7 linked regions of the Callithrix jacchus genome follow. The protein of the gene in region 1 purifies or fractionates together with the protein of each later gene. This does not show direct contact. Links are inferred from orthologs where the notes say so. Each region holds a gene or a part of one and is shown in the gene's direction. Other genes may lie near its edges.

The links.
Region 2: the proteins of GRB2 (region 1) and PIK3C2B purify together in Homo sapiens (affinity purification with mass spectrometry; 5 studies listed by BioGRID and IntAct, counting the BioPlex papers as one, with this or other methods). This does not show direct contact. The link is inferred for Callithrix jacchus from reciprocal best matches to the Homo sapiens genes GRB2 and PIK3C2B.
Region 3: the proteins of GRB2 (region 1) and INPPL1 purify together in Homo sapiens (affinity purification with mass spectrometry; 3 studies listed by BioGRID and IntAct, with this or other methods). This does not show direct contact. The link is inferred for Callithrix jacchus from reciprocal best matches to the Homo sapiens genes GRB2 and INPPL1.
Region 4: the proteins of GRB2 (region 1) and DOCK1 purify together in Homo sapiens (affinity purification with mass spectrometry; 5 studies listed by BioGRID and IntAct, counting the BioPlex papers as one, with this or other methods). This does not show direct contact. The link is inferred for Callithrix jacchus from reciprocal best matches to the Homo sapiens genes GRB2 and DOCK1.
Region 5: the proteins of GRB2 (region 1) and PIK3AP1 purify together in Homo sapiens (co-immunoprecipitation; 4 studies listed by BioGRID and IntAct, counting the BioPlex papers as one, with this or other methods). This does not show direct contact. The link is inferred for Callithrix jacchus from reciprocal best matches to the Homo sapiens genes GRB2 and PIK3AP1.
Region 6: the proteins of GRB2 (region 1) and SYK purify together in Homo sapiens (affinity purification with western blotting; 3 studies listed by BioGRID, with this or other methods). This does not show direct contact. The link is inferred for Callithrix jacchus from reciprocal best matches to the Homo sapiens genes GRB2 and SYK.
Region 7: the proteins of GRB2 (region 1) and PTPN6 purify together in Homo sapiens (affinity purification with western blotting; 4 studies listed by BioGRID and IntAct, with this or other methods). This does not show direct contact. The link is inferred for Callithrix jacchus from reciprocal best matches to the Homo sapiens genes GRB2 and PTPN6.

The regions. Positions count from the first base shown.
Region 1 is NC_133506.1:131,303,794-131,307,724, reverse strand, and holds the start of GRB2 (growth factor receptor-bound protein 2), read left to right. Parts: upstream 1-1,131; 5' UTR 1,132-1,345; intron 1,346-3,931. UniProt on the Homo sapiens protein: Non-enzymatic adapter protein that plays a pivotal role in precisely regulated signaling cascades from cell surface receptors to cellular responses, including signaling transduction and gene expression.
Region 2 is NC_133520.1:31,754,113-31,757,612, reverse strand, and holds part of PIK3C2B (phosphatidylinositol 4-phosphate 3-kinase C2 domain-containing subunit beta), read left to right. Parts: intron 1-2,217; 5' UTR 2,218-2,304; coding exon 2,305-3,237; intron 3,238-3,500. UniProt on the Homo sapiens protein: Phosphorylates PtdIns and PtdIns4P with a preference for PtdIns. Does not phosphorylate PtdIns(4,5)P2. May be involved in EGF and PDGF signaling cascades.
Region 3 is NC_133511.1:68,736,320-68,739,819, reverse strand, and holds part of INPPL1 (phosphatidylinositol 3,4,5-trisphosphate 5-phosphatase 2), read left to right. Parts: intron 1-1,313; coding exon 1,314-1,377; intron 1,378-1,470; coding exon 1,471-1,621; intron 1,622-1,844; coding exon 1,845-1,965; intron 1,966-2,187; coding exon 2,188-2,328; intron 2,329-2,561; coding exon 2,562-2,655; intron 2,656-2,763; coding exon 2,764-2,853; intron 2,854-3,028; coding exon 3,029-3,124; intron 3,125-3,224; coding exon 3,225-3,375; intron 3,376-3,465; coding exon 3,466-3,500. UniProt on the Homo sapiens protein: Phosphatidylinositol (PtdIns) phosphatase that specifically hydrolyzes the 5-phosphate of phosphatidylinositol-3,4,5-trisphosphate (PtdIns(3,4,5)P3) to produce PtdIns(3,4)P2, thereby negatively regulating the PI3K (phosphoinositide 3-kinase) pathways.
Region 4 is NC_133513.1:120,762,035-120,765,534, forward strand, and holds part of DOCK1 (dedicator of cytokinesis protein 1), read left to right. Parts: intron 1-378; coding exon 379-532; intron 533-3,500. UniProt on the Homo sapiens protein: Involved in cytoskeletal rearrangements required for phagocytosis of apoptotic cells and cell motility. Along with DOCK1, mediates CRK/CRKL regulation of epithelial and endothelial cell spreading and migration on type IV collagen.
Region 5 is NC_133513.1:89,501,165-89,504,664, reverse strand, and holds part of PIK3AP1 (phosphoinositide 3-kinase adapter protein 1), read left to right. Parts: intron 1-1,307; coding exon 1,308-1,450; intron 1,451-1,578; coding exon 1,579-1,711; intron 1,712-3,500. UniProt on the Homo sapiens protein: Signaling adapter that contributes to B-cell development by linking B-cell receptor (BCR) signaling to the phosphoinositide 3-kinase (PI3K)-Akt signaling pathway.
Region 6 is NC_133502.1:74,892,307-74,896,403, reverse strand, and holds the start of SYK (tyrosine-protein kinase SYK), read left to right. Parts: upstream 1-1,297; 5' UTR 1,298-1,418; intron 1,419-4,097. UniProt on the Homo sapiens protein: Non-receptor tyrosine kinase which mediates signal transduction downstream of a variety of transmembrane receptors including classical immunoreceptors like the B-cell receptor (BCR).
Region 7 is NC_133510.1:21,218,675-21,222,174, forward strand, and holds part of PTPN6 (tyrosine-protein phosphatase non-receptor type 6), read left to right. Parts: intron 1-554; exon of another isoform or gene 555-711; coding exon of another isoform or gene 712-719; intron 720-807; coding exon 808-930; intron 931-1,094; exon of another isoform or gene 1,095-1,165; coding exon 1,166-1,360; intron 1,361-3,500. UniProt on the Homo sapiens protein: Tyrosine phosphatase enzyme that plays important roles in controlling immune signaling pathways and fundamental physiological processes such as hematopoiesis.

The DNA.
Region 1 (3,931 bases):
GGATGGTCTCGATCTCTTGACCTCATGATCCACCCGCCTCGGCCTCCCAAAGTGCCGGGATTACAGGCTTGAGCCACCGTGCCCGGCTCATTTTCTGTGTTTCAATGGGCTTGTTTCCTCTGTACAATCAGATGCTTGGTTATTCTCATCTCAACGCTATTTTTTTGGCTTCCAGAAGACACATTAACACTAGGTGTGTTCTGTTCTATCCTTTAATTGGAAAGAGCTTTGATAACTGAAAAACAAGAATTATTTACCGAAGCCTCATCTTCTGCCACTCCCCCATACTCACCGGCCTCATACAGGAATTGAACTACTTAGCACTGCACAGCACACGACTTTCACGCCTCCGTTCCGCTGTACTTAGCCTCTGTACTTACGTGCCATTCCCTTTCCCTGAAATGCCCTTACTCTGGCTTCTCTGCCTGGCAAACTCCTACTCATCCCCCAAGACTCAGCTTAGACATCGCCGCATCACCTCTGTAAAGGCTCTTTTGCAATGGGCAGAGTAGCCATTCTTCTTCCATCTTTTTAGCTTTCTCAGCAAACTCCAAATAACAGTACTTATGGCATTATTTGTTTATTTTTCTCTGCTTCCCTAGACCGTAAATTCCTTAAGGACCAGGATTTCTGTTCTATATCCAGCACAGTGTTCAGCCTATATTAGGCACATAATTAAATAAATGAGTAAACAAACCCACCAATCATTCAACATTGCAGAGTTTGTACGGATTCTCAAATATTTCAAGACCTGGTCTTCTGTTTGGAGTGCTTCAGGCTGGAAACTCTCTTCCTCCCCCCAGCCCCCATCCATATCCAATTGCCTTGGTTTGGTAGAGGAGAAAAGAAAGTGATTAGACGGGGTAAGAATTTATTCCTTCAGGACTAAGCTGTTATTTACCCGCTCTGGTACCGAGAGGGTTACGGCGACCCAGGGGCGGAGCCGTGACGAGGCCACCTGCTGCGGGCGGTCTGGCGCATGCGCCCTGGGGCCTAGCTAGTCACTACCTGCCGGAGCCCGGCCCAGGAGGAGCGCTTGCGCTTTGGGCGTTTTCCGCCGGGGGAAGTCTCGCGGGGGCGGGGCGGGGCGGGGCCTCGTGGAGAAGTTCTCGCGGGACACCCACGGCGAGCGGAAGCGAGGCGGCTCTGCTGCTTCGGCGACCGGGCGGCGGCGGCGGCGGCGGCGGCGGCTGTGGCTGAGGCTGTGTCTGTGTCTGTTTCTGTGTCTGTGACCGTGACGGCGGCGGGAGCAAGCGCCGCCCTCGCGGAGCAGCCTCGGGGTCGGCGGCCGCTCTCAGCGTTGAGGTGGGTCAGGCCCGACGCGGAGCGGACTAGCTGCGCCACGGTGAGTGCGGGCGGCTGCGCTCGGCGCCGCTCCTGTGTCTCTTCCTCTCCGCTCTGCGACGGGAGTGGGCCCTGGGGGAACCGGGACCCCGGCCCTTGGGGTCGGGTCGGGGCGGCGAAGCTCGGGACGCGGAGTGGAATGCCCAAGGCTCTGGACTCTGCGTTTCCCCTTTTGGGGCGCTTCCTTCCTGGGGAACGTCCTCCTCCGGCTCTCGGCTGTCTGTGCAGTGTCCGGGAGCCCGGGGGTAGAAGTCGGGGCTCCCTCGTGAAGTCCCCTGCCTTCGTCGGAAGGGTTTGCACGAAAGGGGCCTGGGAAGCCCGGAAGGGCAAAACCCCGACTGAGTCAGTCCGCCCGATCCCGGCGGCGGGGGACTTGGTGTGGGCTGCAGCTGTGGTGATTGATGCGCCTCCGACCTGCATGACAACCACGTCACCATCTCTTGGCGTCTTTGGGCTTAATTTTGTGCGGGAATCCACGGTGGGGTAGAACGTTCATCTCCCCGGGGGAGATGTCTTTATTCTGAGACTTAAAAAAAAATTATTTGAAAAATTAAGCAGCAGCAGGTTGGACTGCACCGAGGAAACATTGCGGCGAGAGCGGGCGCTGGTAATTTTCATTTGCAGCGCGCCCTCTCTGTGATTGTAAACCACATATGAGTTATGGCTTGTTTGGAAAGTTTTTCAAGCCTGGCTTCAAAGGCTATGAAAGTGCAGTTTGCAGAGGACTGAAGTGCATTTGAGGTGTGTCTCTTCTTGATGCTGTTGACTTTCAGAAATGTCAGACACATGAGAGAAATCAGCATTAGTCCCTGGCTTTCTTAACCCCTCTTTCACTCAGTACTTCTCCAGTTATTTCCTTACCTCTCTATCTACTTCTGTCCATTCCACTAGGGACAAGAAGTGCTTGTGTAATGCAAGTCATTTGCCCCTTCCTTCCCCCACCCCCCTCTTTTTTTTTTCTAATCTACTTCCCCTTCCTCCTTGGTAGTCCCCACTCTGGCGTAATTTTTCGAGGTTTCTTCCCTTTCGCACTGTTAGTTTTCTCTGATTTCAAGATTCCGTCCTTTTTCTCGGGAAGAGATCCTCTTTCCTGCTTTGGTGCCTTTACTTTTGCGCTTTCCCCTGCGTTCGCTAGTCAGCCAGAAGGGTTGCTAGAGAGCCATTGGAGGCTGAGGTTCCCCCGCTGAGAAGGGGGTGGGGGGCTCAAAAGATTGAATTCAGCCGGGTGCGGTGGCTCCCGCCTGTAATCCCAGCACTTTGTCAAGAGATCCAGACCATCCTGGCCAACATGGTGAAATCCCGCCTGTACTAAAAATAAAAAAATTACCTGGGTGTGGTGGCGCGCGCCTGTAGTCCCAGCTACTCGAGGCTGAGGCAGAAAAATCGCTTCAACCCGGGAGACGGAGATTGCAGTGAGCTCAGATCGCACCACTGCACTTCAGCCTGGCGACAGAGCGAGACTCCGTCTCAAAAAAAAGATTGAATTAATCCCTAAGAATTCAGTCCTGCCACTAGGTTACAAGTGTGGTTTGTTTGTTGTTTTGTGTTTTAGTTTTTTAAGATTATGCTTTTGTACCTATTTATGCTTTCTTCCAGTATGTCTTTATAATAGTAAGGAATATTGGGTCAGCTCAGGGCTTATGTGACTTTTTGACTTTTAGTGGGGGGTGTTAATGTTAAAAAGTGAAGGTCAACTATAAGTCTATATTAGGTTAAAATAGTCTGAAAAATGTAAGAGGCTAGAACTGATTTAGACCATCGAATTAGTTGAAGCCTGCGCGTTGTAGTAGTACTAATTTATTCTTTGTTAGGCTTTTAGTTAAAAATCAGGGATCTTTTTTCTGCATCTATTATAACTGGCCTTCGTTGTTGTTTTTGACAAAGAAATCTCTATTTGCTCCTTCCCAAGTTCAAAATGTTCCCAATCTCAAGATTTAAAAGAGTTAATTCTTATGATCAGCTATCTCCTAGTATGTATGTATGTATGTATGTATTTATTTATTTATCTATCTGAGACGAGTCTCACTCTTGCACAGGCTGGAGTGAGTGGTGCTGAGGATCTCGGTTCACTGCAGCCTCCACCTCCTGGGTTCAAGCACTCTTGTGCCTCACCTTCCCAAGTAGCTAGGATTACAGGCTCTCACCACCACACCTGGCTAATTTTTGTATTTGGTGGAGACGGGGTTTCACCATGTTGGCCGCGCTGGTCTCGAACTCCTAACCTCAAGTGATCTGCCTGCCTCAGCCTCCCTAAGTACTGAAATTACAGGTGTGAGCTCCTGTGCGGAGCCTAAACTCAGACATTTAAATGTTTGAGGCACTTAACTTGTCAGCAAGTTATTCCGATTTGAGAGGTTTGCTGGGTTTTAAGTACTACCAGTTGCTGGTACTTAGAGATTCTTTTCAGTAATTCCTGTTATGTTGCATATTGTGCATTGGAGTTCTAATTGTTGCATAGAACAGAAGAGCAAAGGATTTTGGAGAAAGGAAGTAATACAGAATAGAGTCACCATGCTCTCCTGAGAGAAATTAATTCTTAACTGCTTAATTCAGAGGAAGTCTCCGCCATTACCAAGTGGCTTTTGAG
Region 2 (3,500 bases), on another chromosome or scaffold:
GCTCCAGGCAGCTGGGTTCTGAACATCTCCATCTGCTTATGCTACTCCTTTGAATTTCAAATAGCAAGACTCATACCCACTGTGGATAAAAAGTGATCTGGAAGGAGCTGTGGAAAGGCATAGAAATTAAGTTAACAGAGAGCTGCTTTAGATACCCTGAGGCTGGGCTCAGACTGTTCCATCCATGGTGAACTAATTCCTAAGTACAATACTTGTCAGATTCACTGAGCCAGAGCCCTTCGGACCAGGGTTCTGTGCCTATACGTGATAGATGTACCAGGGTCCCGGAAGTACCCCAGGGTAAGGGATAACTTTGTCCTAAGTTATTTTGAATCTCAGCAACTTGCCACACAAGAATCTATCTGGGCCGGGCGCAGTGGCTCACACCTGTAATCAATCCCAGCACTTTGGGAGGCCGAGGTGGGTGGATCACGAGGTCAAGAGATCAAGAGATCAAAACCATCCTGGTCAACATGGTGAAACCCTGTCTCTACTAAAAATACAAAAAATTAGCTGGGCATGGTGGCGCGTGCCTGTAATCCCAGCTACTCAGGAGGCTGAGGCAGGAGAATTGCCTGATCCCAGGAGGATCACTTGCAATGATCCCTGGAGGAACATTGCACTCCAGCCTGGGTAACAAGAGCAAAACTCCATATAAAAAAAAAAAGAACCTATCTGAACCTTTTTCCTATTGATGTTTTCAACATTCTAATCATGAGGTGTAATGTTTCATGTTTGTTCTGTTGGGTGACACAGTACAAAAGAATGAACAATTTTTGATAATTTTAGGGAATTGTGACCGTCTTGGGCTGCTGGTGCTAAGAGTCGGAAGTGACTACTTCATGTTGGTCTCCCCCAACCTCATCACAAACACGCATTCATAGATCCAGAGTTCTCAGCTAGGGCTACACGTTAGAATCTCCTGGGGAGTTTTTAAAAAAATGCCATTACCCTACCACAGAACAATTAAATCACACTCTCTTGAGAGTACTTGAGCTTCAGTACTTTTTAAAATTCCCCCAGTGTTGTGCTAATGTTGCAGCTGGGGTTGAGAACCACTGGGCCAGACTGACCTTATCATTACAAGCATTTACTGAGTGCTTCTCAACTTGGCTCATGTCGTGGCTTCTAGAGAAAAGAGTACCAGCACTGAAGAAAGTGGAGGCACTAGCTCGGAGATCCTATGTGACTTCCTGAGGGCCGAGGGGAAGCAATATTTTGGCACACCTGTAAGACATCAGGTAGCCGAGTCTCACCTGTTGGCAAGCTTTCTTTTGTTGTATATATTGGTGTATTTTGGGAGGACCCTAGTGCTGAGTAATTACAAGGTCCGTTTAACAGGGCTCTGTGGTACTTTCCATTTATAGTTTTATCGAGGTGTAATTGACATGTAATAAAATATACATATTGAAAGCGTTTGGTAAGTTTTGCCATGTGAGTATACCAATGAAGGCATGACCACAATCAAGATAATGAACATATCACCTCCAAAGCTTCCCTTGTGTCCCTTTGTAACCCATTCTTCTTTCCACTCCGTCCCCAAGATACCACTGATCTGCTTTCTGTCATTATAGATGAGCTTGCATTTTCCAGAATTTTATATAAATGGAATCATACATACTCATACTCTTGTCCGGCATCTTTTACAGGCATGGTGGCTCATGCCTGTAATCCCAGCACTTTGGGAGGCCGAGGCAGTGGATCACTTGCGGTCAAGAGTTTGAAACAAATCTGGCTAACATGGCAAAACCCCGTCTCTACTAAAAATACAAAAAGTAGCCGGGTATGGTGGTGGGTGCCTGTATTCCCAGCTACTTGGGAGGGTGAGGCAGGAGAATGACTTGAACCTGAGAGGTTGAGGTTGCAGTGAGCTGAGATCGCGCCATTGCACTCCAGCCTGGGCGACAGAGCAAGACTCAGTCTCAAACAAACAAACAAAAAAAGGTGCCTCTCTCTCTCTTCTTGGGGCACAAATGACAGAGGTGAGTATAGGGATTCGGGCACAGAGATGAGACATGTAGAGATGAATGAATGGGTAGCTGGATATAATAAATAGGGAACGTTGTCTTGGTATTCCTTTTTTCCTCCATCTTTCTGTATTTTCGGTTTGTTGTAGACACCAAAGAAGCAGGCATTGGCCCAGATTATGTCACCTAAAGTGGATTAATAGTAAATCTCTCTTTATGACTGACAGATATTTTTACCCCTCACCTGCAGGTGCCCAGACACCATGTCACAACCCTCCAGAACTGAGGTTGGCAGGAAGTAGAGGCTTCTTTGTCTCCTGTGTTCCCCACCCTCACCATGTCTTCGACTCAGGGCAATGGGGAACACTGGAAGTCCCTGGAGTCTGTGGGCATCAGCCGCAAAGAGCTGGCGATGGCCGAAGCCCTGCAGATGGAGTATGATGCCCTGTCCCGGCTCCGGCATGACAAGAAGGAGAGCAGAGCCAAGCAGAACGCAGACCCCTCTCTCATCAGCTGGGATGAGCCTGGGGTAGACTTCTATAGCAAGTCAGCAGGAAGGCGGACTGACCTCAAGCTGTTACGCGGTCTCTCTGGCTCTGATCCTACCCTCAACTACAACTCACTCTCCCCACAGGAAGGGCTGCCCAACCACTCTACCTCCCAAGGGCCCCAGCCTGGCCCAGATCCCTGGCCCAAAGGCTCCCTGTCTGGAGACTATCTCTACATTTTTGATGGTTCAGATGGGGGAGTCTCTTTGTCCCCAGGACCAGGAGACATAGAGGGCTCTTGCAAGAAACTATCCCCACCTCCTCTGCCTCCCCGAACCTCTATCTGGGATACCCCTCCCCTGCCTCCCAGAAAGGGGTCCCCGTCATCCTCTAAGATCTCCCAGCCCAATGACATCAACACTTTCTCTTCGGTCGAACAATTGCCAGGAAAACTGCTACGGAATCAGATCCTGGAAGAGGAAGAGGTGCCAGGAGGTGGGGGTCAGGGCCACCTGCTGGGGTCTGTGGACTATGATGGCATCAACGATGCAATTACAAGGCTCAACTTGAAGTCAACCTATGATGCGGAGATGTTGCGGGATGCCACCAGGGGCTGGAAGGAGGGCCGAGGGACCCTGGACTTCAGCAAAGACACCTCTGGAAAACCTGTGGCCCGGAGCAAGACTATGCCCCCTCAGGTGCCCCCCCGCACCTATGCCTCCCGCTATGCCAACCGAAAGAATGGGACACCTGGCAAGAACCGCCGGATTTCTGCAGCTCCGGTGAGGACCTTCATGTGTTTCTCCTGTCTTCTTTCTCCATGTCCTTTAGAAACAGGGACTAGTCTCTCTGCTGTTCCACATCCTACTCTGCCAAGTCCTTACCCTTTTAGGCTTCTCCTACCCTCTTTTTCTGCCACTGGGACCCTGGCGCTGGTGGGGAAGGTCCAAGGGAGGCTTGATTAGGGGTGGATACCAGTAGAGAAAGGTCTTCTTTTCATGGCCAGTTTTCACATATCTTGGCCAAAACGGCCTTTCTGGGGGCA
Region 3 (3,500 bases), on another chromosome or scaffold:
TGAATGGGGTGAGGGGGTCTCACTGTGAGTGGGGGATTCAGGTTTGCCAGCTGACTGGCTCCTCCCTGAATTTCAAGAGCCTGGGAGTAAGGATCAAATGTCGGCAATCAGATGAGGGCAATATCTTAGATTTGCTTAATACACACACACTTGCTTACCTGTATACATTGCAGGTGCTCATGGATAACATGCAAGACACGCCCCTGCCCCAGCAGGCACAGGCAATCTGACCAGTAGGCCAGGATACCGCTCTGGCTTCTGCCATGGTTTAAAATCCCAACTTGACCTTTCACTTACCCTGTGACCTTAGGCAAATCACTTTCCCTCTTTGGGCCTGTTTCCTTAGCTGGAAAATGGGGATAATAATGTCTACTTAAAAATGTGAGAATTAAATAAGATCTATAGGACACTGGGTACCCAGCCTGTCACAGATAGGATTCAGTCAATGGTATGCTATTGCAATAAACACAGACAGTGTTTATAACAGTCTACCAAGGAACACCCGGTCACAGGCAGACACCCAGCATAAGCAGACAGGAGAGCCCCTGAGGGGGCCATGGTGTTGGGGGGTCCTTACCTCCCTCCTGCCCAACACGGAGAGTGACTCCTCCTGGGTAACTCCTGGGGGGAAACACGCCCTGAGGTGTGGAGGCAGAGGATCTTCCCCCACTGAGTATGCACCTGGCTCAGCTGTCACCTGTTCTGCTGTGGCTGCCGTCTGTCAGCACCCCTCTTGCCCCTCCTTGGCTTGGGGCTCCTAGAGGCCCAGGTCTCCCATGGGGGCCTTCTTCGGTGGGAAAGCCTAGGGTGATGCCCCCACACTCCTTGACAGAACTACCCTAGACATACCTGACTCCGGCAGAGCCAGACAGCAGCATAAACACAGGAGGCACACACATATTAGCATGTTACCTGTGTGTACAACCACAGGTTGTACAGGCTAACCAGGCTTCTGAAGACTCACTCTGGCGGGGGGCCCAGACTGGTACCACAGCCCAGAGGGGCTGTTTAGACAGCTGTGGAGGCTACAAAAGAGCTGCCTGTTGCTTCCTGGGCCCTGCCCTGTGGTGGGTGTGGAGTCTGTAGGTCTGGTGGGGAGAGGGGGGTGTTCTGGTCATTCCTGCCCTTATTGGCAACACTAGGAGGGTGGAAGTGGACCAGCCCATCATTAACCCTGTGCAGTCTGGGCAGGTGGGTTTAGGGAAACCAAGCTGAGGGCATTGGGATGCTGAGCTTGCTGGCAGGAAGAAGGGGTGCTTTGGGTCTTAGACCCCAGCCTGGGGGTGACAGATTCTGGCCCTGCCTTGGTGTAGGTATCAGAAGCATGTGCACACATATCGAATTCTGCCTGATGGAGAAGATTTCTTGGCTGTGCAGGTAGGACCTTGGACCCCTGACCCCTGACCTTGATCCAGCTTAGGGTTTGGGACCAGCTGGCTGACCCTTCCTCCCACCTTTGCTGGCCCACAGACCTCGCAGGGTGTGCCTGTGCGCCGCTTCCAGACCCTGGGTGAGCTCATTGGCCTGTATGCCCAGCCTAACCAGGGCCTTGTATGTGCCCTGCTGCTTCCTGTAGAGGGGGAGCGGGAACCGGACCCTCCAGATGACCGGGATGCCTCAGGTACTAATGTGTGGGTCCCCTCCCTGCCCCTGTCCCTTGGTTCTCCCTGCCTCTTCCCATCCCCGATTCTCAACCCTACCTCTCCTGTAGCCCCCTTGCCTGTGGTCATGATGCTGGCGCCCTTTATCCCTCTTTCCATAAAGTCACTTTACAGCTGCATTATGCCTCCTACTCCACCGTGTGTGGGAGGCCCAGACAGCTGCCCACTGACCCCTGCCCACAGATGGGGAGGACGAGAAGCCCCCGCTGCCCCCGCGCTCTGGCTCTACCAGCATTTCTGCCCACACTGGGCCCAGCAGTCCCCTGCCAACCCCTGAGACTCCCACAACTCCAGCTGCTGAGAGGTGAGACCCCTACCCTATCCACTGAGCAGGAGATCCTTTCTCCTCTGAGAACTGTTTTCCTACTAAAGGTGGAGAGGCCTTCTAAGCCCTCACCAAGGACCCCCACACCACCCTGATTCATCCCGCCCTGGTTGCCACAAATACTGTCTCTTCTAGGGATGGGGCAGGGGTGCTGGGACAGGACAGCAGGACCTCCACTGACTTCTTTACCCCTTCCCAAAGTGCTCCCAATGGGCTAAGCACCGTCTCACACGAGTACCTGAAAGGCAGCTACGGGCTGGACCTGGAGGCTGTGCGGGGTGGAGCCAGCCACTTGCCCCACCTCACCCGTACCCTCGCCACCTCATGTCGGAGGCTACACAGGTATCTGGGACATCCAGCCCCATGCATTACCCTTACTTCTGACCTGTGCTTGCCTGCTCCCTGGCTGTATAGGTGCCCTAACCTCTGACCCTGAACAGTCAACTAGCCACTGCTTGCTGACCTTCCTCACCTGGTACCCTTTATCCTTGTGGTGAGGTGGAGGCTACACCCAGCGCCCCCTTCCCTGTACTTAGGTCTGGGTGGGAATTCTTCTGACCTGATGTCTCCCCTAGTGAGGTGGACAAGGTCCTGTCAGGCCTGGAGATCCTGTCCAAGGTGTTTGACCAGCAGAGCTCCCCCATGGTGACGCGCCTTTTGCAGCAGCAGGTGGGATTGTAGGGAGACCCCTGGGAGGTGGGCTCATGTTCTGGAGCTGCCTGGGAGGCTCTGCTTAGGTGACTGTTATACAAGCCTAGTTCTTTCTCCCCCTACCAGAACCTGCCACAGACAGGGGAGCAGGAACTAGAGAGCCTGGTGCTGAAGCTGTCAGTGCTAAAGGACTTCCTGTCAGGCATCCAGAAGAAGGTGGCATGACCTCTGACCCTTGTCTGCCGATTCACTGGCCACTGTCATTAGCTTAGCACTGATCTCAACCTTGAGTCTACAACTTAACATTGGCCCCAGCATCAGTTGTGTCCCTCCCTGCCCCAGGCTTCAGTCAGGGTGTCCCTTGACTTCACGCTGCCCTTGTTCCCTCCAGGCCCTGAAGGCCCTACAGGACATGAGCTCCACAGCACCCCCGGCTCTGCAGCCATCCACACGTAAGGCCAAGACCATCCCTGTGCAGGCCTTTGAGGTACATGGCAGTGGGGCCTCATGGGGCAAAGGGCGGTTGGAGGGGACTGGGGTGCTGCCTGCCCCAAGGTCTTGTCAGCAGCTTCCCACCTGGCTTGCAGGTGAAACTAGATGTGACCCTGGGTGACCTGACCAAGATCGGGAAGTCGCAGAAGTTCACGCTGAGCGTGGATGTGGAGGGTGGGCGGCTAGTGCTGCTGCGGAGACAGCGGGACTCCCAGGAGGACTGGACCACTTTCACGCATGACCGCAGTGAGCCAGGGCCAGACCTGGGAGGGGTGAGCAGGGGGGAGCCCCCGGCCTAGGGGCACAGGCCCATGTGACCTGTCCTCCATGCCCTAGTCCGCCAGCTCATTAAGTCCCAGCGTGTCCAGAAC
Region 4 (3,500 bases), on another chromosome or scaffold:
CCCCTTGCCCGGATTCCCTCCTGATCAGCGTGTAGCTAGCTCCATTCTAACAGCTTAGCTGCAGAGGGAGCAATTACCAGGTGTCTTATGGGCCATTTCAGGGTACTGCCTCCTGCCTGGGTATTCTCTTCCTCTCTGCCACACCTAGCATGTGTGTTTCGGGGAAGTGTCTGGGGCATGAGATTTTCCAGAGTTTGCTCCCCCTGGGCCCCCTACGGGCCCAGCGTAAGGGCTATGCCTTAGCTTGATCATTTGCAAAGACTGTATTTCCAGATAATGTCATATTCTAAGGTAATGGGGGTCAGGACTTCAATATAGGAATGTAGGTGGAAACGCACTCAGCACCCTAACTGTGCTCTTTCTGTCCTTTCAATGTAGATAAGTCCCCTGCGGCCCCAGAGACCGAAGAGCCAGGTGATCAACATCATTGGAAGTGAAAGGCGCTTCTCGGTGTCCCCCTCATCACCGTCCTCCCAGCACACACCCCCTCCGGTTACACCAAGGGCCAAGCTGAGCTTCAGTGTGCAGTCGAGTAAGTGGAACCTCCCCTCATACGTATCGTGCTGTTGCTTTGTGCGTCCCTTGACTGAAGGCTCTCAGGTTAGAAGCATCTCCTCACTCCCCTTTCAGCAGAGGGAGGGAGTTTGGATAAGCTCCTGGCTTCCTGGGAACAGACTGTAGAGTCTGGACTTCTGCACATCAGGCCAAAGCCCAGAGCCAAGGTCTCCAGCGCTGGAGGGGCAGAAAGTGCAGGGTCTGTCCCAGGATCCGTGGGGAGGGAAACTGGGACACATGGGACCACTCCACTTCCTATTCCAGGACACAGCTGCAGGAGGCCGTGGGCCTGCCTGTGTCTAGGACAGTGCACTGGAGAAGCACTCCAGGCAGTTTACAACAGCCAAGGAGCATAGCTTAATTTTCTAGTTTTGACCAATTTTTAAATTACCCAAGAAGTTGCCACAAAACTGGTGGCTCAAAACAGTAGAAATTTGTTCTCTGAAGGTTTTGGAGGCCAGAACTCTGAAATCAAGGAGGTGGCAAGTTGGTTACCTCTGTTGGCTCCAAGGGAGAGCCTGTCCCAGGCCTCTCTCCAGCTTCTGGTGGCTCCTAGCAGTCCCTAGCCTTCCTTGGCTGTGGCCACACCACTCCCCTCTCTGCCCGTCTTCACGTGGCCTTCTTCTCTGTGCCCTCTCCTCTTATAAGGACACCAGTCATTGGATATAGGGTCCACTGCAAATCCAGGATGATCTCACCTTGAGATCCTTAGCTTATTACATCTGCAAAGACCCTAAGTCCAAGTAAGGTTACATTCTGAGGTTCTGGGTGGCCCTAAGAGGTCCACGTTTTGAAGACTCTACTCAACCTACTCTAAGTGGTAACCAGCTTTTCACCACCAAATTCAGAGCCAGCAGAGAGGAGAAATCTTGGCAGGGAGAAGGTGCTGGGGGTGAGGGTGACAGCAAAACCAGGGAGCCTACTCTCCTTCCTATGGCACAGGAAGGGGTCAAAGGCAGGAGAGCTCTGTGCCCTGTGGCAAGGGTTGTGCAAGGCAGTGAGAGATTGTCCTCTGCACCTGATTTTCCTCCTGCTTAAAGGGGAGCAATCATGCTTCTGGAGACTGTCAGGTGGTAGGGAGTCTGGCTTCAAGCATGGATGCGTGAGTTTAATTGAGTAGGCCGAGAGCTTTCTGGGCACTGGGTCTGTCTCTGGAGGGTGCATCCTCACATCCTTGCAGTATTACTACATGATTTTTCTAAAAATGTGTTTAAAGTCTATTTTAATATTTAAAACCATAAGGCACCATCACTGCTGTAGAAAACAAATTGCTGGTTCCTCCAAAGTTCCACGTGGAATAACCATACGGTAATATGAACCAGCAGTCCTACTCCTCAACCTGCACTGCAGAGAACTAAACACAGGGACTCAAACAGATACTTCATATTCATAGCAGTATTTTTCACAAGAGCCAATAAGTGAACACAACCCAAATGTCCATCGACTGATGGCCAGATTAACAAAACGTACATCCAAAGAAATGTCCATGCAATAGAATATTCCTCAGCTGGAGAAAGGAGTGAGGTTCTGACATGTGCTACAGTATGGACGAAACTCACCGTGATCCCGAGTGACACAGATCATTCACAGAGGGACAAATCTTATGTGACTCCACCTCAGTGACATATCTAAGGCAAGTTCACAGACACAGAAAGTAAGAGGACAGGTCAGGTGCCGTAGCTCAAGCCTGTAATCCCAGCACTTTGGGAGCCGAGGCAGGCAGATCACCTGAGGTCAGGAGTTCCAGACAAGCCAGTCAACATGGTAAAACCCCATCTCTACTAAAAATACAAAAATTAGCTGGGCATGGTGGCGTGTGCCTGTAATCCCAGCTATTCAGGAGGCTGAGACAGGAGAATCACTTGAACCTGGGAGGAGGAGGTTGCAGTGAGCTGAGATCACACCACTGCACTCCAGCCTGGGTGACAGAGCAAGACTCCATCTCAAAAAAAAAAAAAAAAAGAAAGTACAAGTAGAGCAAACCTCCATGTGGAAAGAAGGAAGGGAGGGAGGAAGAGAGAGAGAGAAAGATTGAGAGAGAGAGAGGAGGGTACCAGGGGCTAGAGGGAGGGAGGAGTGGAGAGTTAGTGCTTAAGGGGTACGGACTTCCAGTTTGGGGCAATGGAAATGTTTCAGAAATACATCATGGTGATGGTTGTCCGCTGTGTTGATGTGATTAAGGCCACCAAATTGTCCCCTAAAAAATGGCTAAAATGGCAAATTTTATGTCATGGGTATCTTACCACAATAACAACAAACAATTCGGCACCAGTCATGAAGACAGTCACTCACCGAAGCCTTCTAACTCCCCTCGGTCCCATGGCAGAGCTTTCTCAGAAACTGACACTGTGTTCTTCCTAGGAGACATTTTCCTAATAAAGGATTTTTCATCAGATGCATCCTTGGGGAAAACTCCAAAAGAGACTCATCAGTAAAAACGTCAATTTTTCTCTCTTTTAATATGAAAGAAAACAAATTGTTTTTAAGAGTCTCAACAAGGGTTGAGAAAATATCCTGCCTTGGTGATTATCCCTCCGTTTGAAAACCGCTATATTTTCCAGTTTACTTTAAAAATCAATTGTACATCCCCTTGGCTTATTTAAAGCCACAGCCACAGTGACTGCTACGGCTAATAAAATCATTTCATGCAATCATGGATTTTCCTGTGGAAAGAGATTGGAAGTTGGGTGTCTGGTTGCAGTGTTAGACTTTGCTTAGCGAATCTTTCCAGGTGATAACTGCAGGGGTGATTGCAGAGGCCCAGCTGCAGAGATGGTCCTGTGGCACCCAGCTGTTTCACTTCCACCAAGGCAGGGGGCCCGAGGAGGGATCAAAGAAGCCAGGGTCAACACCACCTTCTACAGTGGCTCAATGCCGTGCTTTACCCTCCCATTTTAGTTGTCACGTGATACTTGCTATTCTCTTTCTAGAACACTGCCATTAGG
Region 5 (3,500 bases), on another chromosome or scaffold:
CAGGTATTACCATTTTAAATGTGTTTGCTAATTTGATACTTTTTGGAGAGTAGTCCATCGTTTTCATATGCACTTCTTTGATTATTAGTGTGGGTGAATATTTTTCCATGGTCTCTGTTGTCGCATTTCCTCTTTTGTGAATCTCTGTGGTTGGTGTTATTTTTAATTTTCTCTTTCCCCCTCAAAACCCCTTCCTGTGGTATAGCATCCCGCCCCAGGGACAGCACGTCGTCATGACAGCAGCTCATGACTTGCAGTGAACCAATTCAGCCCGCCCAATGTGGCAGAGACACAGTTTCACCTCCCATGATTTTCCCTCCTTCTGTGACCACTGGCCTTTGTGTAAAGTGCCTTAAACCCGAATTTTCTTCCAGTTCATTGAGGTACTGGGCCCTACACTAGTGAGTAAAATGATGAAAATTTTTTGAAAATTAAGTTGCAAACCCAATGAAAATTGCTGTGGCCCACAGCCCTAACATGTGCTGGTTTACTCACCTGCTACCTCCACCTGTTCCCTCATCCCACCCCAGCTCACCTACACCTGTTCCCTCACCCTCACCCCAGCTCACCTCCACCCTTGCCCTCATCCCCCCCAGCCCACCTCCACCCTATCCCTCACTCCCACCCCAGCTCACCTCCACCCTTTCCCTCACTCCCACCCCAGCTCACCTCCATCCTTTCCCTCACTCCCACCCCAGCTCACCTCCACCCTTTCCCTCACTCCCACCCCAGCTCATCTCCACCCTATCCCTCACTCCCACCCCAGCTCACCTCCACCCTTTCCCTCACTCCCACCCCAGCTCACCTCCACCCTTTCCCTCACTCCCACCCCAGCTCACCTCCACCCTATCCCTCACTCCCACCCCAGCTCACCTCCACCCTTGCCCTCATCCCCCCCAGCCCACCTCCACCCTATCCCTCACTCCCACCCCAGCTCACCTCCACCCTTTCCCTCACTCCCACCCCAGCTCACCTCCATCCTTTCCCTCACTCCCACCCCAGCTCACCTCCACCCTTTCCCTCACTCCCACCCCAGCTCACCTCCACCCTATCCCTCACTCCCACCCCAGCTCACCTCCACCCTTTCCCTCACTCCCACCCCAGCTCACCTCCACCCTTTCCCTCACTCCCACCCCAGCTCACCTCCACCCTTTCCCTCACTGCAGCCCCAGCTCACTTCCAAGATCTTTCTTCCAGGCCCCAGTTAGTGTCCTTGCCACTCAGGTGGAGTGTGTATATCCACAGCCACTTTTCCCTGGATGCTTTTTTTTCCTGGGAATTTTGATATTATCTTTTCTTCTGTTCAGACCTTTCATCTGGGAATGTTTCTCTGAAGATATATTCTGGGGACTTAGTGGTGTGTGAAACTGTTATCAGCTATTATACTGACATGGAAGAAATTGGGAATTTATTGTCCAATGCTGCGAATCCTGTGGAATTCATGTGTCAGGTAAGGATACTGCAACGAAACCTGAGCTTTCTGGGCATGTAATTTCTGCTCAAGGCCTATCAGTCTTGAATCTGTGGAATGGGAGAGAACTGGATTTCACATCTGACCATCTTCACTTTTGTATTCAGGCCTTTAAAATTGTGCCCTACAACACAGAGACCCTTGATAAACTGCTAACCGAATCCCTGAAGAACAATATCCCCGCAAGTGGACTGCACCTCTTCGGAATCAACCAGCTGGAAGAGGAAGACATGATGACAAGTAAGTCGACAGTCAAACCTCAGGAAATCAACATCCTGTCAACATATGCATTTACTTTCCGCCGGGACTCTTCTGGGTCCCTTCTCCATAACCTCTCCTTGGATAAGGACTCATTCTTCACTGGGTAGCCTCATTCTTCTAAATTACAAATCTGAATACTTTACTCCCTTCTGAAAACACATGTGGTGGCTTTCGGAGGAGTAGGCAATGAGCGATTTTAAATCAGTTCGGCGTAAGCCAGTGGAGCTTGTTATGATTATTCCTTACAGGGATAGTATGAGAAACGGGTAATCTATATACTCTGTCAAGGGAGGTTCCCACTTGCCTTCTAGATAAAATCTGAACTGCTTAATCTGTAAACAAGCCCTCATCTCTCTCCACACCCCTTCTTGGCTGTTCTGTGCTTTGCTCTGCATGAGGTATGAGCTTTTTTCACCTGTCTCTTGCCACAGACTCATGGAAAGACAGTTCTTTCTCCCTGACTTGGTTGCTGTTCACCTGGCTAACTTCTCTCACTTCCTGTAGCAGCTTAGGTAGCACTTCCTCTGGAAGGCCTTCTCCAAACCTCCAGTAGGTTCCATTTACCTGCTTTGCACCCCCCGACCACCAGCACGTTGGGTGCCACTGTCCTAGCACTCCTCAGCTGTGTCTGTCTTCTTTGCTAGGCTGTCCGCTCAGTGAGGGCTGGAACTGTTCCTGGGTGGCTGGCTTGCTATAGGCTCTAAACAAATACTCGTTGAATGAAGGAGGAGCAGCCTCTTGTGCACATGGGACATGCTGGGAGCTGGGAGAGTCACACCCCTTGCATGGGGATGGTGGTGGGTGTTCTAGACAGGTTGCCCATTGTAGTGTCTCTGTGGACACCACCCTTCCTGCATGCCATGGTTGCACTGCACAAATGGGACCCAAGTCTCTGGTTACCCTCTGCCTACATTCCATCCCTCTGTAGCCTAAGAGAACCAAAAGAATGAGGTTACATGACCTTCAAGGCCTCCTCCTGGGGGATTCTCTTTCATATTGCCTCCCCCCATTTTCCTACCATGGAGTGTTCTTGTGGCACTTTTGTAGTCTGACTATTCTCTATTAAGCTTGGAGCTTAGGGGAAAGTATTTCATAGCCTGACAATCTAGGATCATGGGAATATTTTCAGACCCTTCATCCCAAGAATCGTATTTGGAATGGAAGTCTGGGTTTGTCATGTTAAAAAATATACATTTGTATATAAATATTATATATCTATACACTTCTTGGGCTTAAAAATAAACATTTATGAAAAAAGAGATTTGTCCCCAGCTCCACAGACCCAAGCATGTCCATTTTTTTGGTTGAGTTCAACTTGCTATATTCAGATAACAGTAGGTGGAGGGGTCCGTGGGGACCAACACCTCTCTAGAGCACTTTGCTTCCCACCAATTAGAGTGAACTGACGTCCTGGTGGGGTTTGTGTGCATTAAGACCAATGTTCAGAATCTCTCCTAAATAAGAATCCCACTGCATACCATCTTATTCACCCTCCCAGGTCCTTTTGAGATAGTCTGGAAACATTTTCTGGTTGAGACCTAAAGGCTGAAGAAAGTCTAAGGAACATACCCAGGATTACTAGGTGTACTTATCATGAAATTAGGAATAAGGGCTAAGAGGATTAACTTCTTCCTTTTAATCAGCATGAAACAATAGCTTTAAAATACATTCTCAGAATTTGGCAGAGAAGTTCAAAACATGATTCCTATTGTACTTTGTGGCTGCTAGTTAAGCCTTTAAAAAAAAGTCAGCACATTTTGAATTAGTA
Region 6 (4,097 bases), on another chromosome or scaffold:
GCTTTAACAGGCAGGCAAGACTGAAAATCTAACTTAGGAGTATGAGGCCTGTAACAACAGCTGAGTCTTGGCCAATCCCAGCGGCCATACTTCAAACACTCATAAACTGCTAAGTATTCAAACAAGGCAAACGCCAACTTGTAACCAATTCAGCTGTTTCTCTACTTCACTTCTGATTTCTGTCCATATCTTCCTCTTTTTTTGTCTGTGAATTTGTTCTGACCATGAGGCATCCCTGGAGTCTCTGAATCTGCTTTGATTCTGGAAGCTACCCCATTCCCAAATCATTCATTTCTCAATTAAACTGATTTAAATGTAATTCAGTTGAAGTTTTAACAGGTTTAAAAAATTAATTGCAAAAATGAATTAAAATCTAATAACGCTGGAAACAGAAAAGGCTGAGGGCTCCATTAAGTATAAACAGTCCCATCTTTATAATTTCTCCATGGCAATTACAATCCAGCACATTATACGTATTTTATTTTGCTTCTCGCATTTTGGCTCAGGGTAAAGCTTTTTAAAACAGACGCTGCCAATCGGTTTTATCAAGAAGGTCTGGATACCGTTTTTGTGGGAACATTTTAAAGAGGAATGTCCAACAGGAAAAGGAGGATAATTGAGAGAAGTGTATCAGGCAGATAAGTCAACACCGTTTTTAGGACTATAGGAAAGGATTACGTTTAATTTATTTGGCTGTAGACGTCAGAGCCGTCGTGTTACAAAGAAAGCAGTCTTTAGTAATAAGCCCTCAGAAGCAGCGCGCTCCATTGCCCACTAGTGCTCCGTGAAGTCTGTTGTTCACCTACCGGGCCCCTCAGCACTGCCCCGGCCTCCTGAGTGCTCCAGCACGGTGGCTTGCAGCCTGTTGGCTTGGTGACCCAGATACCCCCTCCAGGGACTATGCCCTGCAGTGGAGTCTCTACCCCATTTGCTGCACAGCAAATGGAAAGGGCCGCTGAGTGTTCCTGGGTCCTGGGCAGTAAGAGAAGTTACCGCGCTGGCGGGGATGAGGGCAACCGATGTGGTTCGGGTCGCGGGCAGTCCCACCTTCCCTGCCTGCGAAGGGCCCTTACCCGGCGGGAGGAGAGCGGCGCGCCGCACCTGGATTCCTCTGCCGGTGCAGCCGCCTAGGCGGATCCCGCGGGCCGGCCCAGCGCTCCAGCCCGTGCCCGCCCAGCTCCGGGCGCACGGGCGCGGTCAGCAGGGCGGGCCAGGCGGCGGGGCGCGACATCGGGAGGAAGTGCGGGCCGCCTGCCCGGGCGCGTTAAGGAAGTTGCCCAAAATGAGGAAGCGCCGCAGCCGGGCGGCTGAGGCCACCCCGGGCGGCAGAAGAGCGAGGAGGAGCTGGCGGCCCCGCGCTGCGCCCCGGCTGAGCCCCGGCTGCGCCCAAGCGCCAGTCCTTGCCTCACCTGGCGCAGGTAGGTGTGGCCGCGTCGCCTCCCCGGTGAGAATTTTCTGGTGAGCGGAGGGGGTTTCGGGGGATGACGCGCCGCGTTCATGCCCTTTCTTGTTCTGCCTTTCTCGTGTGCCCAGTCACACCGGGAAGGTGCCCGCAGGGCCTTCACTGCGGAGGGAAAAGTGCTGAAACTACGTGAATAAATACGGTGGGGTCCGCCAGCCTCGCTCCTGAATCTGCCGGCTCTCGGGATCCAGAAGCTGCGCCGGGAGAGGGGCCCGGGCCTGGGCGGAGGGGACAGAGGTCTGAACCTGCGGAAAGTGACCCTGGACTAGAGCGCGGAAAGTGCGGTCGCGGCCCCGCCGGGGGAGACGCGAGGCTGGGATGAGGCACAGAGCGAGGAATTTGATCTTGGAGCTAGAACAGTGTCCTTTGTCCATTTACACCAATCCATGGGGGAAATGCCGCAGTATTGATCAAAGTGACTCAATGTAGAAATGTCCAGATGTCTTATAAGCTAAGACAAATGTTTTACTGCAGAAAGAAACAGCAGTTGCATTCAAACACCAAACTTTCTGAACCACTACTAAAATTTAGCATAATTACTCTGGTGAATACATTTTCATTGTCAAGTAATTTACTTAGCCAATGAACCTGGAGAGCAAGAAAGTTTTACGTAGTAAAATGTAAACTTGAGTTAAGAGGTAAGGTGATTCTTTGTTTTTTGGTTTTGTTTTTGTTTGTTTTTGGCAATACAGCTCCAAAACCTTAAGCCTACCTGAAAACTATACAAATGCGATAGCTTCTTTGGTTTTTTCAACGTTCAGGGACTAGAAAGACAATTGGAGAAGTGGGAGTTAGAATCTTTTTTTACGTTGGAAACGCTGTTGCAAAATATTTTATGAGTTTTGCCTGACTTACCGAAGATTCAGTTGAACTCAAGTAGAACTGTTGACTGGAAGTTTTTCTTTTTCGTCTTCTTCTTTTTTAACCTTCAAAGCATTGCAGTCTGTAGCAAAACAAGGAGTTGGAGATATGCCATATCTGATTCTTCATATTAAAAAATAAAAAAGGAATCTTTTAATCCCTGAGAATTCCTGGAAGGAATTGAATTGATTCTAGAATCTGACTTCGTCTTAGTAGGGACAAATTCATTGCCTTTACACAGGCAGCATTTTGATTGAATGCAACTAAATACATTGATGTCCTTCTCCCCAATGAAAGTCTGAGCAGTGCATAGATAGAATTACATTTGAGCTAAAAGGTTTAAATACATGTAAATTATTAAGTGTTTAAAGTGAGAAATCTTTGTCAGTGAAAATTATTTTATCAAATCACTTTGTTCTATCCGAATGGCACTTTTAATGTACTTAGAAAAATCTTGCATTAAAATAGAAACTTATTTGTCTTACCCCCTGTATTTGAAGTGCACTTTGAAGTGTATTTGAATGAGAGATTATAATCAAATTGCTTGATTTGTGTCTTATCCTCTTACTCTTCTTCCTTGGATTTGAACACTAGGAAAAAAGAGATTTTTTTTCTACTGAGGTATCGTGGGGAGACTTTTTTTAAAAGCCTCTGTATTTGAAGTGAAATATACAATAGGATTTTAGAATAGTCTTAATAACCAGAATGCTTTAAGCTAGGATAAAGATGGGGTGTATACTTTAGGTCTTTACCTTTCCTGAGAGATGAAATTGGTAGAAACATTATTTTATTGCTAGATTTGCACTTGAGAAATGATTTGCCTTGATCTTTGTTAGGCCCCTATATATATTCTAAATGCAGGTCTAATCATTCTGTTTTTTAAACTGATGTCTTCTTAGTAGAACTTCACTTATTTAGCACATTGTTTGCCCATGGTTATTATCCAGCATGCTTGTGCCAAAGTGTATTTTGGAATTCAAGCTTTTTCCGAATTTGGAATTAAAATATAGAACTAAATTTTAGAATTGAGAAAGACATCGCTCAGAATTTAGGGAGGTAAACACACATGTTGATGCTGCTGATTACTTGCCATTCCAGTATAGTCTGGAGAGAATCCTGTAATTCCACGCATTAATATTTCTGCACTTTCACATTTAACAACATGCATATTCTCAGTAAGTGGAAAAATGAAGACTATAAATAGCTGTGTGTCTGTTTAGAGCAGGTGGTATCACTACAAGAGCTTCTCTAAAATTTACCAAAAAGAAAAAAAAGGCTTGTTTTTCAGAGTTTTTTAGAGCTGGAGATGATGGACTCAGTCTGTATTAGACTCCACTGAACTATGGTTTGCTTTTGAAAGCAAAGTGCATTCATATTGCTCAATACCTCACACTTTCCAGTAATTAGAAGGGCAGTTCCTCTCCCTTAAGGGAGTCTAAAATAGCAAGATTTTACTGAATTTTCAATCATATCGATCAAAATAAAGGTTCTTCAAGTAAGAGCGGATGTTTCCTTTGTAATATAATTTTGAACAGCGGAGTTTCTGACAGGCTACGATTTTAGAGAAAGAGAGCAGAAGTTACTCACAAAAGGGGTTACCGTCACCCTTTACAGCTGCAGTCTGTCCATGGAAGAAATTTTATTTCCTGTTAACTTTGCAACCAGCTGGGTTTGTGTTAGTTGTCTACACCTAAGTGATGGCTAATTTTTACTTTCTCAACTTTCCCTGTATAGATGTATAGACATTTTTTCCAACTACCCCCTGACTTTTCTA
Region 7 (3,500 bases), on another chromosome or scaffold:
ATCCTGGCGCTGCAGCTGACTCACTGATGGACTTGGGCAATGCCTTGAACTCCCTGGGCCTCAGGTTTCTTGTCTGTCAAATGAGGATAAACAGACCCCCTGTTTCATAGGGCTGTGGTGAGAAACTATTCAGACGAGGCATATGAGCACCATTATAGCACAGCGCCTGGCATCCAGCAGGACTCACTCGATGACAGCTGTCACTGCCATCATTGTTATTAGTGTGGGCCAGGGAGGACTGTGTAAAAGCAGCAGGTGGAGGAGGAAGAGGTGCCGTGTGACCGTGTAGGTTCACATACGTGAAGTATGAGCTGGGCTTTTAGTGTGCAAGGCACATATGTGTCCTTACTGCATGTGGTGTCACATACGTGCATGGCCATGCTCCTGAGCCTTTGATTGCAGACATGTGGGAAGTGGGCCCCGTCCCCACCCCCAGTGCCACCATACTCTGCTTCTCTTCCCTTGCTCTACTCTAAAATGAGAAGTACAAGTGAGTTCCCCCAAGGGGTCGGCCGCGCCTCTTCCTGTCCCCGCCCTGCCGGCTGCCCTAGGCCAGTGGAGTGGCAGCTCCAGAACTGGGACCACCGGGGCTGGTGAGGCAGCTTGGCACTGGGAGCCACGTTTGAGGCTTAGTCCACGAGTTCTCTGCCTGCCCAGACTAGCTGCGTCGCCTCATTCCCTGCGCCCCCTCCCTCTCCGGAAGCCCCCAGGATGGTGAGGTAAGAGCCTGCCATCCTCAGTAGGCAGGAGGCAAGGGTGCCCAGTGCCCACAGGACCCCTCCTCACTGCCCTGCTTGGGCCACTCAGGTGGTTTCACCGAGACCTCAGTGGGCTGGATGCAGAGACCCTGCTCAAGGGCCGAGGTGTCCATGGCAGCTTCCTGGCTCGGCCCAGTCGCAAGAACCAGGGTGACTTCTCGCTCTCTGTCAGGTTGGTGGCCCTCCCTAGCATTTGGCCGCTCTCGTGCCGTCCAGGCCCTGAACCACACATTCCTGGTTCTCCGCGGCAATGCCAACTCCCCAGCCCCCACGCCTGGTCTGTGTCCTCATCCCCCAACCCCCGTGCTCCCCATCCCTGTCTGTGCCCCCACCCAGGACCTCTGCCGATCCCTGCCCTCCTGCCTCTACTCCTGCACCTACTGGCCTCACCACCTGGTGCCCTGCAGGGTGGGGGATCAGGTGACCCATATTCGGATCCAGAACTCAGGGGATTTCTACGACCTGTATGGAGGGGAGAAGTTCGCCACGCTGACGGAGCTGGTGGAGTACTACACTCAGCAGCAGGGCGTCCTGCAGGATCGTGACGGCACCATCATCCACCTCAAGTACCCGCTGAACTGCTCCGACCCCACTAGTGAGAGGTGAGGGTTCCGCACCCTGCCTCTCCCAAGCTGGGGCAAGCCGGCTCCCAACCCCAATGGCCCGGGAGGCAGGGAGCCTGGCACCCAGCACTGCCTGCCCTCCCTCCCCTTCCCTTCCTGCACCAGCTGGGGCTCTCAGCGTCCTTCCTCCTGCAGCCTGGTGTCTCAGAGCTTAACCTACCACCCTTTCCACCTAACCCCGAGGAAGCCAGAGAAGGCTGCCTTGCCCTACTCCAGGGGCCCTGGCCACTGCAACCCAGGTCCCACTAGAGACAGGGAGGCTACCGCTGGCGGCTGGCATGTCATGTGGGCCAGCTCTGTTGTTAGAAAGTTCTTCCTCCTGTGGAAGTGAGAGTGCCCTCCTCCGTCTTCCCCTCACCCATGGCCAGCACGCGTTAGGAGTTGACACTAGGAATGAGGATGGGGACGAACGCTTGCCAGGACACTTGACGCCTTATCTCAGCCACCCAGCAGCCGTGGAGTGTTCACATGTGGAAAGGGGCTCACACTGTCCTGAGCACAAACACTCCAGGCATTTCCTTCCTGTCCCCTCTGCTCAAAGGTGTGGTCCCCAGAGCTGGGCTGGCCACTGTCCCTGTGGGCTCCCAAAGGCATGGGCAGGGGCCAGGGGGCTCTGAAATCTCCTCAGGACACCCTGGCTCCTTTCAGTGCCAGATCCTCTTAGAGTAAAGGGCAGTGGAATAACACAAGGGGTTTTCACATGGACCCCTGGGGCCAAGCCCACCTGCCCTTGCCCTGTGCTGGAGGATGGGTTGTTAAAGCGCCAGCTTGCAGCCTTTCTGGGGTTCTGGCCTCCAAACTGCCATCAGTATTTTTGGTGAAGTCACTGACTGAATCTTAGAGCTGAATGAGGTTGCAGAATTGCTCTGTGGCCTGCCTGGGAGACCTCTTTCCCTGGTCAGCTTCCTTCACGGCCTTCTTCCTCTCCATGAGCCTCATGTGGCTGGCTCCGTGTCTGCCCCCTGCCCTTCCTCTTCCCCACCGTGACACTTGGGGGGCCTCTGAAGCTCATGTCCTTTCTCCTTGCCTCAGGCCAGGAGGAAGAGGATGGGCTGACCAGTGCCTAGAGGGGACGAGAGGAGCAGGGCCCCAGGAGGCCCCTGCAGAGGAGGCTGAGACCCGCTTTCAAAGAGAAGAGAGAAGAGAGACAAGGAAGGGAGGGCAGTGCTGGGGTGGGAAGTTAAGAGGTTAAGACCAGGGAAGCCATACTGGAGGCCTTTTCAGGTAACCCATCCCAGGAGCCAGTGTCACCCCTGAGCCTGGAGTGTGAGAGGTTCTTTCTCTGAGGTTCTGCCTTGTCCCTGCCTTGTCCCCTGCTGTGTCTGTGCTGCCTCCTTCTCTGTGGGAATTTGCATCTATCCCTCGGTGGCTCTGTGCTTCCTGTGGTCAGCCTGACATTTGCATGGAGACTTCCTCATCCTGGGGCCTAAGGAAAGGGGCTCAGCCTCCTACCCGCTGCCTGGGGTCCTAGCCTGTCCCCAAGTGGTGGGCTGAAGCAGCCCAGTAAGATCTGGAGGTTCTGCGGGGGGTGGGGGGGTGTCTGTTGGCTGGAGTCACCTCTGGGCAGGGATAAGATGGGTTGGGACAGACTGGTCCTCCCCTCCTTCCCCCGATCCCTGCGGTTGGAAAATTTGCCCCTCCGCCACCCCTGGGCTGAGGAAACCTCACAACCTCACTTCTCACTCTCTCCCCAGAAGGAGTTTTGTGTTTTTTCCATCACGTGGTTTCCTGTGGGGCTGGGCATTGTGGGGCTACAGTTTCCTCCTGGGAAAGGGGTGCGCTTCAGGGAAAGGGCTCAGTTCTGCTTTCTGCCCCGACAGCCCCTTTGCATCCCTTTGAACCCCTTTGAACCCTGGGCTCCCCTTCAGTGACATCATCCAGGGCACCCCCAGAGCCCCCACACCACTTTTTCCCCAGTGGGGTCGTTTTTCCCTGCCTCCCTGGCGGCGTGCACCCCATCCGCCTTCCTTGTGACTTGGGTCTCTCTGTCCGTCTCCCGCCTGAGATGTGGCCTCGATCTGCGTTTCTTTGTCTCAGGTCTCTGCCTGGCACAGCCCTAAGCATCACGGAGACTCTTCCTTAGTTTCTCTCCTTTAAATATTTTTGTATTGACAAAACA